Sus scrofa: one gene and its partners. The protein of the gene in region 3 binds, or shares a complex with, the protein of the main gene of each other region. Links are inferred from orthologs where the notes say so. Each region holds a gene or a part of one and is shown on either strand. Other genes may lie near its edges.

Region 1 (4,023 bases), on a different chromosome or scaffold from region 3:
CCTGCCCTTTGTTCAAAAAACAACAACAACAAAAAAAAACCCAAAACCCCAATGACAATAAAAAACTTCCTCTATATCCTTATTCCCCCCTACTCCCGCTGCAGAATGTTTTTTTCTGGGTTACTTCAGATGTTTCCTCCTGGGCTTAAGACCTGATTTTGCCCCAAACAAAACTTAACTTTTAGGTTGTGCATTTTTTTTTTTTTTAAGTCAACACATTCTTTACTTATCTAAATTTAGTTCAAACTTCTAGGCCTAACATAAATGCCATCTCCTTCAAGAAGTCTTTCTTCTATCCTGCTGTGTTCTTTCCCTTCTATATATATCTTCCCCCTTCCCCTGTTGGACACTCTCAGGCTATTTTATGAGATTTGCAGTTTAGCTCAGTACTTTGTGAGTTTCCATAGCAAGATTCCATTCAATACAGCAATATTTATTGAGCACCTCTGCATCAGACATTGTACTAGGCCTTAGGAATAGCGTTAAATGAAACCCCGGCCTTCAAGATTAGTAGGAGAGACGAACAGGTAAACACATTAAATACCCCAGTGAGCTTCAAGAGACTTGGTTCGGTAGTGAAGTACCAAAGCACCTCAAAGGAGGTATAGGGGAGCAATTGCCATCTAGGCACAGCTTCACCGTAAATAGCCTAATAATTCAACCCAGTGATTATAAAGGTATAATTAACAGCTCCTGCCTCAGAATCATTTGGATTTTGTAAGGAAAAAGAAAAAAGGCAGATTCACATCTACTAGAATCAGAATGAAGGAAAGTGACACTTAAATCTGAGTTTTAAACAAACTCCCCATGTATTTAAATCATCCAAAATTTAAGAATAGAGTGGAGCCAAATTTCGCAGATCTCATTCACAAGCTACTTCCTCCTCCTAGCAGGACAACCTGCGGGGTGTCTCTTCCCTTCCTGCGCCGTTTCCAGACGTCGTCCACATGCCGCAGGCCTTCTCTCCTGAGGCTTTGGTCAGTCACCCTCAGTCCGAAAAGCCCAGCGGACACTCAGACCCTCGCTCCGCAAAGGATTGGAGGGGGTGGGGGCTACGCTACAGGTCAACCTAAAAGGCGGGAGGGGCAGCAAGAGAGCCGAAAGGGAGAGCTCTTTGATTGACGCGAAAAATGCCCAATGAGAGAAGAGGACTAGTGACGCTTCCGCCCTAATGGGCAAGGCATTAGCTATTTCAACCAATCCAGCTCAGAAATGTCTACCTTGTGGGAGGTCTTGAGGCTGCTTAGGTCGTTGTCTGTTGAACCGCTTGTGGAAGTCGTTCGGCTTTGAGTAGGGGGTTAAAGTCGTTCTCGAGAGGAAAGTCTCTGGCCGAAGAGAAAATGAGTTTAGCTCTGAGGTCGGTAATGAGGAGGCGGCAATGCTCTCCACACCACGCAGCGGGCCCCAGGGTGGGTGTGTGTGGAAGGGAGGCAGCTTGGGGCGAGGCAAGGAAGGGAATGCAGTTTGGGACGAGGGAAGGGAGCCTTGGCCACCTTTCCTGGGCCAGACTCCTCATCTTCGGGGCCCGGGTGAGCTCCGTGCAGTTAGACGGTCATTTCTGTCAGGCCACTGGGCTTTGGACCCCAACAACCTGGGTTGTTATAGTCTCGAGGAGGCAGTGAAATATCGCGAGGTTTCTACGCTCTTGTTTATGTGAACTAGGAAACCAGGCCTTGGAGCATCCTTAGTAAAGTTCCCGTCATTCCTTCGCTTATGGCCTCCACCGCAGCTCCCTTCCTGCTAACATCTAACCCGTAGATTTTAGAAATAACGTAAAGCCCTCCTTGCTTCACTATGTAATAGTAGACCCATTTTAGTGCTTTTAGTTGGTAATCTCTTAGATTCCCTGAGTTTATTTTTCGCTCATTTCCAACCACTAACCTACCATTTGTTGCCTACTTCCCAACTCCGACTAGGCGTGTTACCGTAAAAATACCTATAGAGTTACACCTAACTAAAAAGGTACCGAGTTCTGATAAGGCATAATCGTGGTATCCTTGGCTGGGGTCAGTGGTCGGTGGTTTGCGAACTTGTCCTCTCAAAATCTTGGGAAAAGAATGGCCGACCCCCAGAACGTCCAGGCTTGTGTGAAGTGGGGTCTCCTGTGAAAGCAAGATCTACCTCAGCTTTATCATATCTCTTTTGGTCACTTTCTAGTCATCTCTTGCCTTTTGTGTGTGTGTGTGTGTGTGTGTGTGGTAGATTTCAGAGAACAAAGCAACTTAAAATGCAAACAGATAACGTGTCTAATAAAATCAACTGGGTTTTTACATTTTCTAAGTTTTACAGAATTCTTCTGCTTCAAACTTGCAACCCTATTTGAAAATTTGGAACATCTCAAGATATTTCTGGCTTTTACAATAAATTCCTTTTTTTCTTCAGCCTTTTTCAGGGTTTATGAAAAATTAAATCCAAATGTATATGTTAAGTGAGATTTACAAGACAGTTGACTCCACATTATTATATAGCGTTAGCACAAATATGTACTTTTCTGGTGTTTAATAGTATGCTTAGGCTAAGTTTTTTGGGTGATTGTTAATAATATCAGTGGGAGAAATTGCAAATAAAATGCCAAACTTAAAAATGTGTAATCTAAAAACACTTTTGATCCACAATGCCAAAAGAGTTTATGTTAATTGATGAGTTAGATGTCTTTTTGTAGTAATTTTGATAGTTATTAACACTATAAAAGTAAGCCTAATATGTAGTGATCATCAATTGTGAATTCTTTTTTTTTTTTTTAACAGACATTGTAAAACGAGTAACTATGGGTGCTTTGTTTTTTTGGGGGGGTTCTGATATAAAACTAATGTTTCTTATTCACATTTCTTGTTTCTTCCATAGTAATATTAGTGGAAATAAATAAAAAGCCAGGAGGAAGGGAAGTAAGGTCCTCATTTCTTTAATAACTTAACACTTTTCAGTTTTAGGAAGCACAAGTTTATAGCACCTTAGTCGATGGGAAGAGCAGGGCTTTGACTCATGTAAGGAAAATCTCTTCCTTTCATGTAAGGAAAATACTTCCTTTTTAGAAATTTAGGTATTTATTAATTGGCTAATTTTTTGTATTTTTGGATTCTTATTTGAGTCATTTAGAAGCATAGGAGAATGGGATTAAAGTGCAATAAATAGGGTTTTCTGTCTTCATTTCATAGAAATGAGCTTGTAGTAGACAAAACAAAAAGGAAAAAAAGAAGAGAACTCTCTGAAGAACAGAAACAAGAAATTAAAGATGCTTTTGAACTATTTGACACGGACAAAGATGAAGCAATAGATTACCATGAATTAAAGGTAATATACTCGACCTCTATCTGTTAAAATGATTTGCATATTGACAGTTGATTAAAAATATATTTATAAATATTTTAATTTGGTTTTGGAAATATGAAATCATTTTAAACATTTACCATTAAGTGCTTTTAATAAAATTGAATAGTACTTGTAGCATATCTTTTTAGAAACTCCTTCTCATATGGTAAAATGAATAGTATAATGTAAAAATACATTCCTATGGAGGGGCTTATTTTTCATTCACGTAGTTAAAAAAAATAAAGCTATGGTATTTAAACTATACTTACCGTATTCCTCTTCCCACTTTGGTGTTTCTTCTTTTTTGGTGACATATTTTTCAGATTGAGGGAGTGTTACTCGTTTTTTAATTTGAACATGTTGGTAACAGTCTCATCCTGTTTTCTCTGGTGCAGGAAACATAAGTGATATCTGATGTTGACACAATGCTAATGGGGAAAGTGTCAATTTTAGGTTCTAGAAATATTTATAAAGAATCAAAGGGGAATTGGTATTTAAGGTAGGTTGGATCTTACACTCAGCACAATGAGGAAGATAGTATTCTTATAGCTCTGTACTCACAGTTTCTTTTAGTTACCCAGTTTTGATCAATTCTTTTTTTTAATAATGTTTCTTCTATTTGTTGCTATTGTTATTATATTGGTTTGGGATCTTAATTCATATCTGAAACTTCCTAATTGGTTTCTCTTTTTCCTGTACACTCTCATTAAATTC
Region 2 (3,938 bases), on a different chromosome or scaffold from region 3:
GTTAACCACTGAGTCATGACTGGAACTGCTGCTACTGAATATTTATTTTACATTTGGAAAATACTAAGCCTCTTTTTACCCGCTAAATATGGATGTGAAGAAGTTCCCATGTGGCACAGTGGGTTATGAATCCGGTGTTGGCCGCACCTGTGGCACGGGTTTGATCCCTGGCTGGAGAACTTTCACAAACGTCAGGTGTGGCAAAAAAAGAAAAAGGACATGAATGCATAATTTCTCATAGCCACACTAATAGTGTCAGAAACATCAGTGAAACCCCGAGACATTTAGAAAAAGCAGCAAGACATAGATGGCAGATCAGTTTGGAGTTTGTGCAAAACAACTTTGAATTTCATCCTATGGATGGCTGCCTTCAGAAGGATTTGGATAAAACTGTAATTGCCACAAGATTTTTCATCCTTTCTTTAACAGGGTGTATCTTAAAAGACCAGCTACTGGGTGACTGTTTTCCTAACAGATATCTTATCCCAAGACATCTTATTTCCACCATTCGAATAGGTTGTTCAGAATCAACTCAAGAAGTGCTTCCCCAAGTAAAATACTGAAAATTTGTCTTGTTTTCAGATCGAATTTCTTTCCTAGATAATAAAAAGTGCTACATTTTCAAGCACTGTTTTCGAAGGTTTATCTTCAAATTTCTTATTACCTTCGTTAAAAAACTCGCTTATTTGGGAATTTAGAACCAGTACTATTCCTTGTATGTGTATGTACTTGTATACATGGCATTTACAAAATAACTCTTTTAGGTTACTGGAGCACTTTTGAGGTTTCCCATAACAAGATCTGGGCTCCTCTGAGTGTTTCTTCCTGCTTTTCTTTGGTGAGATAACAAACCAACATTTGTGTTCAATTAAGCTCGGCGGTCTCGATTTCAGCTGTTTCAATTTTGTGCCCACGCCTCTTGAGGATTTTGCTGTGGAAGTGGCGGCGACTGCCTTCGTACACAAGCCGGATGGACCAACTGTGCTCGCCTGCCATGAACACGGCTCAGAGGAGCAACCGCGACGGCGCTAACCCGCAGACCAAGCAGCAGCGGAAAGCCAGGCTCGGGAGAGGCCGTGGGCTCGTGCTCGTCAGAAGCACGCCGAGCGCTGGTCTCAGCCCGCGCATGCGCGGCCGCAGCACCGCCGCTCCCGCGGGCTCCCGGGGTCTTCTCTCCGGCCCGGCTTGGGGTCGTCCACGGCGGCGCCTGATCTGGAGAGAACGGTACTTGGAGGGTAGACTGACCCTGGCGCTATTTTCCCTGTCGTGCTGTCGAGGCCAGGAAGGAGGGACACGTGTATAGTGCTGCACAGGGGTGGTCGCGGCCAAGAGGAAAGGCCCCTGCAGCGCTGGGGGATTGGGCCTGCAGGCAGAGCAGGAGGCGCTCGGAGGGGGTCCTTTCTCGCAGCGGGTTCTGAGCGGGAGGCCCGAGCCGCGAACATTTGCGGCCCTGAGAGATCCAGGCGGCTGTGGTGCGGCGCAATGGAGGAGCTCGATGGGGAGCCGACAGTCACTGTAAGGGCGCCCCCGAAAGTATTGTTTGCCTTCAGCGGTTTCGTCACTGCAGGGTTGTCCACTTCTCGGCCGCCTGCAAGGCGCTCGTCCCCTTCCCTCAGATTAATTGCCACCGTCCGGAAGTCACATCGCGAAGCTGCCCGAGTTTGGGTTGCGGTGGTCGCTGGGTTTCTGCCCCTTTGTATATTCCGAGTACGTGGTCCTGGAGGCCCCGCTCCATGCCTTTAACGAGCAGGTTCGAACTAAGCAGAGGAACTGGAGCCTTTTTGTCTCCCAACCGAAGTAGGTTTCCCATCACAGTGCCCGGTTTCTGCTTCAGCTGGCCCAAGGTTTATTAAACGTATTTATTCTCTCCGGAGACTATTCCTGTTCTTATTGCTGTGTTTGTTTTCCAATTCTGTTTGAACTCTCAAAAGACTATGTCAGATGTGGATGATTTGTGATGTTTTACAAAGAGATTCAGGGCTATTAGACAGGAGTTATTACCGTTCTCCCTTTTTGCTGGGATGCTCTTTTCTCCGTTAGAGTTATATCCTACCCGTTGTTTTTTTTTTTTTTTTTTTTTTTTTCCTCTTCCTATATATAAGCTCCTGCATTCTTTGTCAGAAAAGCCTCACTTGACCTCCCTAACTAGGTCAGATAGTTTTGTACGTTTAAGCTTGTTCTGCATCTCTTAGCTCTTGGTAGCTTGTAAGCCCCACTAAACTGCAATTTGCTTGACCTTGTGTTTTTGCTTTTTAGAAAGTGGAGGTGCCTTCAGCTTTCAGCAAAAAGCTTGCAATGCACTGTCTGACAAAACCACAAAATAGATGTCATTTTAAAGCTAACTGGACAAAAAGAGACAGTTTTCTTTTAAGGGCTGCAGGTGCTTCATATGGAAGTTCTCAACTTCAGGCAAGGGGTCCTATCAGAGCTACAGCTGCTGGTCCAAGCCACAGCTACACCAGATCTGAGCTGCATCTGTGTCTGCAGCCTATACCATAGCTTGAGGCAACGCTGATCTTTAACCCATTGAACAAGGTCAGGGATCAAACCCACATCCTCACGATGTCAGTCGGGTTCATTTTCCTGAGCCACATTGGGAAGGAGACATGAAATCTTAAATAGCAGTTAACATGGTTTGTTGCTCGCTAGAGGGTTAGCTTTATGTATAGATATATATGTGTATGTATATATATAAGTGAAAATTTAAAAAATTTCGTTTTATGACTGCACTTGTGGCATATGGAAGTTCCTGGGCCAGGGGTCGAATCAGAGCTGTACCTGAGGCCCATGCTGTGCCACAGTCACACAACACTGGATCCGAGCTTCATCTGGGACTTGTGCTGCAGCTTGTAGCAATACGGGATCCTTAACCCAACTGAGCGGGACCTCCACAGCAGGAACTCCTCAATTCCTTTTAAGTTTGTTAATTTCCCTTTTTCTCAACTAGAGATCATTAAATCATAATAATTTTTTTTTTCGTCTTTTTGCCATTTCTTGGGCTGCTCCCGATGCATATGGAGGTTCCCAGGCTAGGGGTCGAATTGGAGCTGTAGCCGCCGGCCTATGCCAGAGACACAGCAACGTGGGATCCAAGCCGCATCTGCAACCTACACCACAGCTGACGGCAATGCCAGATCCTTAACCCACTGAGCAAAGCTAGGGATCGAACGCACAACCTCATGGTTCCTAGTGGGATTCGTTAACCACTGAGCCACGACGGGAGCTCCATTAAATCATAATAATTGATTAGGGAGTAGCTTTCCTTTTTATCAACATTTGTGTTGAGATGGCTAGCAAAACTCAGGAGCTCATTTAGGGTCTAACAGAGTGGGCTGATCTCAACCACATTCAGGTGTGTTCATTGGTTATACTTAATAACTCTCATGACCCTTGATTTCTAGGGTTAGATTTACAAGTCAGTTGAAGGCAAAACATTAAGAAAGAATAACAGTTTTTGTTCCTTATTATTTTCTTTTACTAGTTGATTCCAGGAGTGAATTCCCAGAAGAAGCAAATGTGTTTTGACTGGGGTCCAGGGGAGATGCTGGTATGTGAAACCTCTTTCAACAAAAAAGGTATTTAAAAAAAATTTTTTTTTTGTTTTAGATTATCCATTGGGGAACATTTTTTTTTTTCTTCTCTCAGATTTGACTAGCTGAGATACAAAACAGTTGAACTTACTTTATGTCATTTTCATTTTTGAAAATTTTTAGCTGCTTAGGATTTTCATTTACTTATGATACTTGGCACATGTTGAGTCTGGGGAAAAAAAAATTAACAATGGTTTTCCTAAAGAAAGGTTTTTTTTTTGTTTTTGTTTTTTTGGCTTTTTAGGGCCACTCCTGTGGAGATTCCCAGGCTAGGAGTCTAATTGCAGCTACAGCTGCCGGCCTACACCACAGCTCATGAGTGAGGCCAGGGTTCGAACCAAAACCTCA
Region 3 (3,512 bases):
GAAGAGAGAAGTAAAGAGGTTATATCTGGCTATAAGCAGGTCCAGGGGCTCAGAAGGTGTCATTAGGTTACTGTCTCTCCCATGCTGTTGACTCTGCCCTCCTCTCTGTGGCGTCATTCTCAAGAAGCCACTTGTGTCAGTGATGGCCACCAGCAGCTCCAGCCTTACATTCTCTTAGAAGCTAGCAATCCCAGCAAAAGAAGTATTTATATCTCCAGCAAGAGTCCTGGGAATGATTCTTACTAGGTGACATGCCTAACCCTGGAGTTCAGAGATGGAATCCACATGACTTACCCAAACCATATGAACTAAATGAGGAAGAACTGGTTGCTAAGAGATAGTGCACCTATAAACATGTATCTTTCTCATTGGTGTATTAAGCTCATCTGGCTGGTTACATTTAACTTAAATATCATGAGTTCTTACTATGGCACAATGGATTAAGAATCTGACTGCAGCAGCTCAGGTCACTATGGAAATGCAGGTTTAATTCCCAGCCCAGAGCAGTGGTTAAAGGATTCGGCATTGCCACGGCTGCAGCGTGGGTCACAGCTGTGGCTCAGATTCAGTCCCTGGCCCAGGAACTTTCATATGCTGTGGATGTGGCCATTTTAAAACAAACAAACAAACAAAAAAACAACATCAGGAAATTGAATGAGTAATAGCACCCTGTCATTATGGAGACTAACAATGTTTTTGTAATGCTTTTACATAAATCAGGGGTCATCAACTTCTTTAGCCCATTTGTCTCTAGCAGAATTAAAGAAGGGCAGAGACCACAGAAGGACATGCATATGGGTAAAATGAAATACCATTACTAATTGCCTACACCATCCTGTGATTAATTATGTAATTCTGTCAAAAATGGCTGGTACTGGAGTTCCCGTCGTGGCTCAGTGGTTAGCAAATCCGACTAGGGACCATGAGGTTTCAGGTTCGGTCCCTGCCCTTGCTCAGTGGGTTAAGGATCTGGCATTGCCGTGAGCTGTGGTGTAGGTTGCAGATGTGGCTCGGATTGTGAGCTGCTGTGGCTTTGGTGTAGGCCGGCGGCTACAGCTCCAATTTGACCCCGAGCCTGGGAACCTCCATATGCTGTGGGAGCGGCCCAATAAATGGCAAAGAGACAAAAAAAAAAATTGCTGGTACTTTTCCCCAAGGCACAAGTGCTTCTCCAGTACTGCATTGGTTATGTCACTAACTGCTCTTTCTTGTTTCTAAAGGCACAACGACTCTGCAAGCGTTGTGGTCAGGCATGGAGAGCTGCAACACTTGAAGGCTGGAAACTCTACCATGACCCCAATGTTAATGGAGGTACTTTTAATAGATTTTATTCTTGGTTTAGCTCTAAGAGGATATTTTGTCAAGTATAGCTTTTGTTTTTAGACATTGTCAAAATAAGGAAATCTCATTTTAAACTATAAACTTTCTTTTACTATTTTGTAGGAACAGAATTAGAACCTGTTGAAGGGAATCCTTATCGATGCATTTGGAAAATAAGTTGTTGGAGGATGGCAGAAGATGTAAGATATATATTTACTGATACTGATTTTTACTCTTAACTCACTGAAGGTCTGCTGAAGACACTGTGAAACATTTGAGAGTAAATAAAAACTGAATTTCCTGTTTTCAAAGAGCTTCCAATCAAACTTATAAATAAGGGTGGGAAGGCTTACCTACTAATCAGAATTATTCAGACACTAAGAATTAAACACTGATAAAAGGCAAAAATACCAAAAAAAAGTACCAACCAAATCCATAGAATAGGCATTGGGCTGGCTTCCCGAGAGAGTATAGAATTGAACTTTTAAAAATTAGTAGGATTTGAGTTGTTGGAAAAAGCAGAGGAAGGAATTCTAGGTAGGATGCCTAGGTTGGGAAACTCAAGGGCAGGCAAGTTTACCAGGTTAGGGCAGAAGGCTCACAAAAGGAAATATGATCAGTTCTGTTATGACATGACCTATGCATTCCTAAGAATCATTACAGCATGAAGAACTGTGCAGAAAACCCACAGGGCTTTTAGGGGAAATGGAGTTAAGAGCACTGTACTCAAAAAACATCCATGATACATAAAAAGATAAAAACTTAAATGCAGTAGCACAATTATACGCTGTTAAACAGTTATGAAATACATAAACACTGCAATAAATATGGCACTTTACCTTGAAATAGAACTGAGGTTTGCTTGTGGAATTGGGGTGTCAGAGTTGCAGCAAAATTGTAACACTTGCTGTAGGTGAATTTAGCTTTTAACACACTTGGAGAACTCAGGAAGCTGGTAGGTGTTTGAGGTGTGTCAGTTTTGTCTATTTCTAAGTAGTTTGGTTCAGCTAGATAGAGTTTTCTGCATTCAGCTCGTGTGTCTTATACACAAAATTGGGCATAAGCAAATGGGAAATTTGTACTATGTTCAGATTATTCCTTGAGGAATTCCCACTGTGGTGCAGTGAGTTGAGAATCCAGGGGAGTTCCCATTGTGGCGCAGTGGTTAACGAATCCGACTAGGAACCATGAGGTTGCGGGTTCGATCCCTGCCCTTGCTCAGTGGGTTAACGATCCGGCGTTGCCGTGAGCTGTGGTGTAGGTTGCAGACGAGGCTCGGATCCTGCGTTGCTGTGGCTCTGGCGTAGGTCGGTGGCTACAGCTCCAATTCGACCCCTAGCCTGGGAACCTCCATATGCCGCGGAAGCGGCCCAAGAAATAGCAACAATAACAACAACAACAACAACAACAACAAAAAAAAGACAAAAGACAAAAAAAAAAAAAAAAAAAAAAGAATCCAACTGCAGTGGCTCAGATTGCTGTGGAGGCATGGGTTTGATCCCCCGCCTGGTGCAGTGGGTTAAAGGATCTGGCATTGTCCCAGTTGTGGCTTAGGTCAGAGCTGCAGCTCAGATTCAGTCCCTGCCCTGGGAATTTGCATATGCCGCTGGAGCAGCCATTAAAAAAAAAAAAAAAGCATTCCTTGATATGTCAGTTGCATTGGAACAAGTGCCCGTTTTCAAAACAAGCATTTTAGCAGAACTGACTGTAATGGGAAATATTGAAAAGGGTGAATTAAACGCAGGCAGTGGTGGCCCTCACGTGCTGTTCTAAGGAATGAAAACTTTATACCATAGATAGTGGTGAGCCATCAAAAACCAAGAGGGCGGAGTTCCCTTCATGGCGCAGTGGTTAATGAATCTGACTAGGAACCATGAGGTTACAGCTTCGATCCCTGGCCTTGTCTGGGTTAAGGATTCAGCGTTGCTGTGAGCTGTGGTGTAGGCTGGCGGCTACAGCTCCGATTAGACCCCTAGCCTGGGAACCTCCACATGCCACGGAAGCGGCCCTAGAAAAGGCAAAAAGACAAAAAACAAAAAACAAAAAAACCCAAGAGGGCACATGACAGCAGTACTTTAAGATTAGCATGGCAGTGGAAGATAGGCTTAAAGTTGAATGGACTAATAAAGGCTGAGACGCTAGTTAGGAGCCTGTCAGAATTATTCAGACACTAAGTAATGAGGGCCTGCCCC

Evidence for each region.
Region 1: NUP107 (region 3) and CETN3 share a complex: the UniProt entries of both Homo sapiens proteins name them as parts of the nuclear pore complex. The link is inferred for Sus scrofa from reciprocal best matches to the Homo sapiens genes NUP107 and CETN3.
Region 2: NUP107 (region 3) and NUP85 share a complex: the UniProt entries of both Homo sapiens proteins name them as parts of the nuclear pore complex. The link is inferred for Sus scrofa from reciprocal best matches to the Homo sapiens genes NUP107 and NUP85.

The regions. Positions count from the first base shown.
Region 1 is NC_010444.4:97,590,516-97,594,538, reverse strand, and holds the start of CETN3 (centrin-3), read left to right. Parts: upstream 1-1,218; 5' UTR 1,219-1,340; coding exon 1,341-1,357; intron 1,358-3,155; coding exon 3,156-3,291; intron 3,292-4,023. UniProt on the Homo sapiens protein: Plays a fundamental role in microtubule-organizing center structure and function. As a component of the TREX-2 complex, involved in the export of mRNAs to the cytoplasm through the nuclear pores.
Region 2 is NC_010454.4:6,101,168-6,105,105, reverse strand, and holds the start of NUP85 (nuclear pore complex protein Nup85), read left to right. Parts: upstream 1-1,133; 5' UTR 1,134-1,482; coding exon 1,483-1,515; exon of another isoform or gene 1,516-1,797; intron 1,798-3,481; coding exon 3,482-3,575; intron 3,576-3,938. UniProt on the Homo sapiens protein: Essential component of the nuclear pore complex (NPC) that seems to be required for NPC assembly and maintenance. As part of the NPC Nup107-160 subcomplex plays a role in RNA export and in tethering NUP96/Nup98 and NUP153 to the nucleus.
Region 3 is NC_010447.5:33,020,658-33,024,169, forward strand, and holds part of NUP107 (nuclear pore complex protein Nup107), read left to right. Parts: intron 1-1,220; coding exon 1,221-1,311; intron 1,312-1,443; coding exon 1,444-1,520; intron 1,521-3,512. UniProt on the Homo sapiens protein: Plays a role in the nuclear pore complex (NPC) assembly and/or maintenance. Required for the assembly of peripheral proteins into the NPC. May anchor NUP62 to the NPC. Involved in nephrogenesis.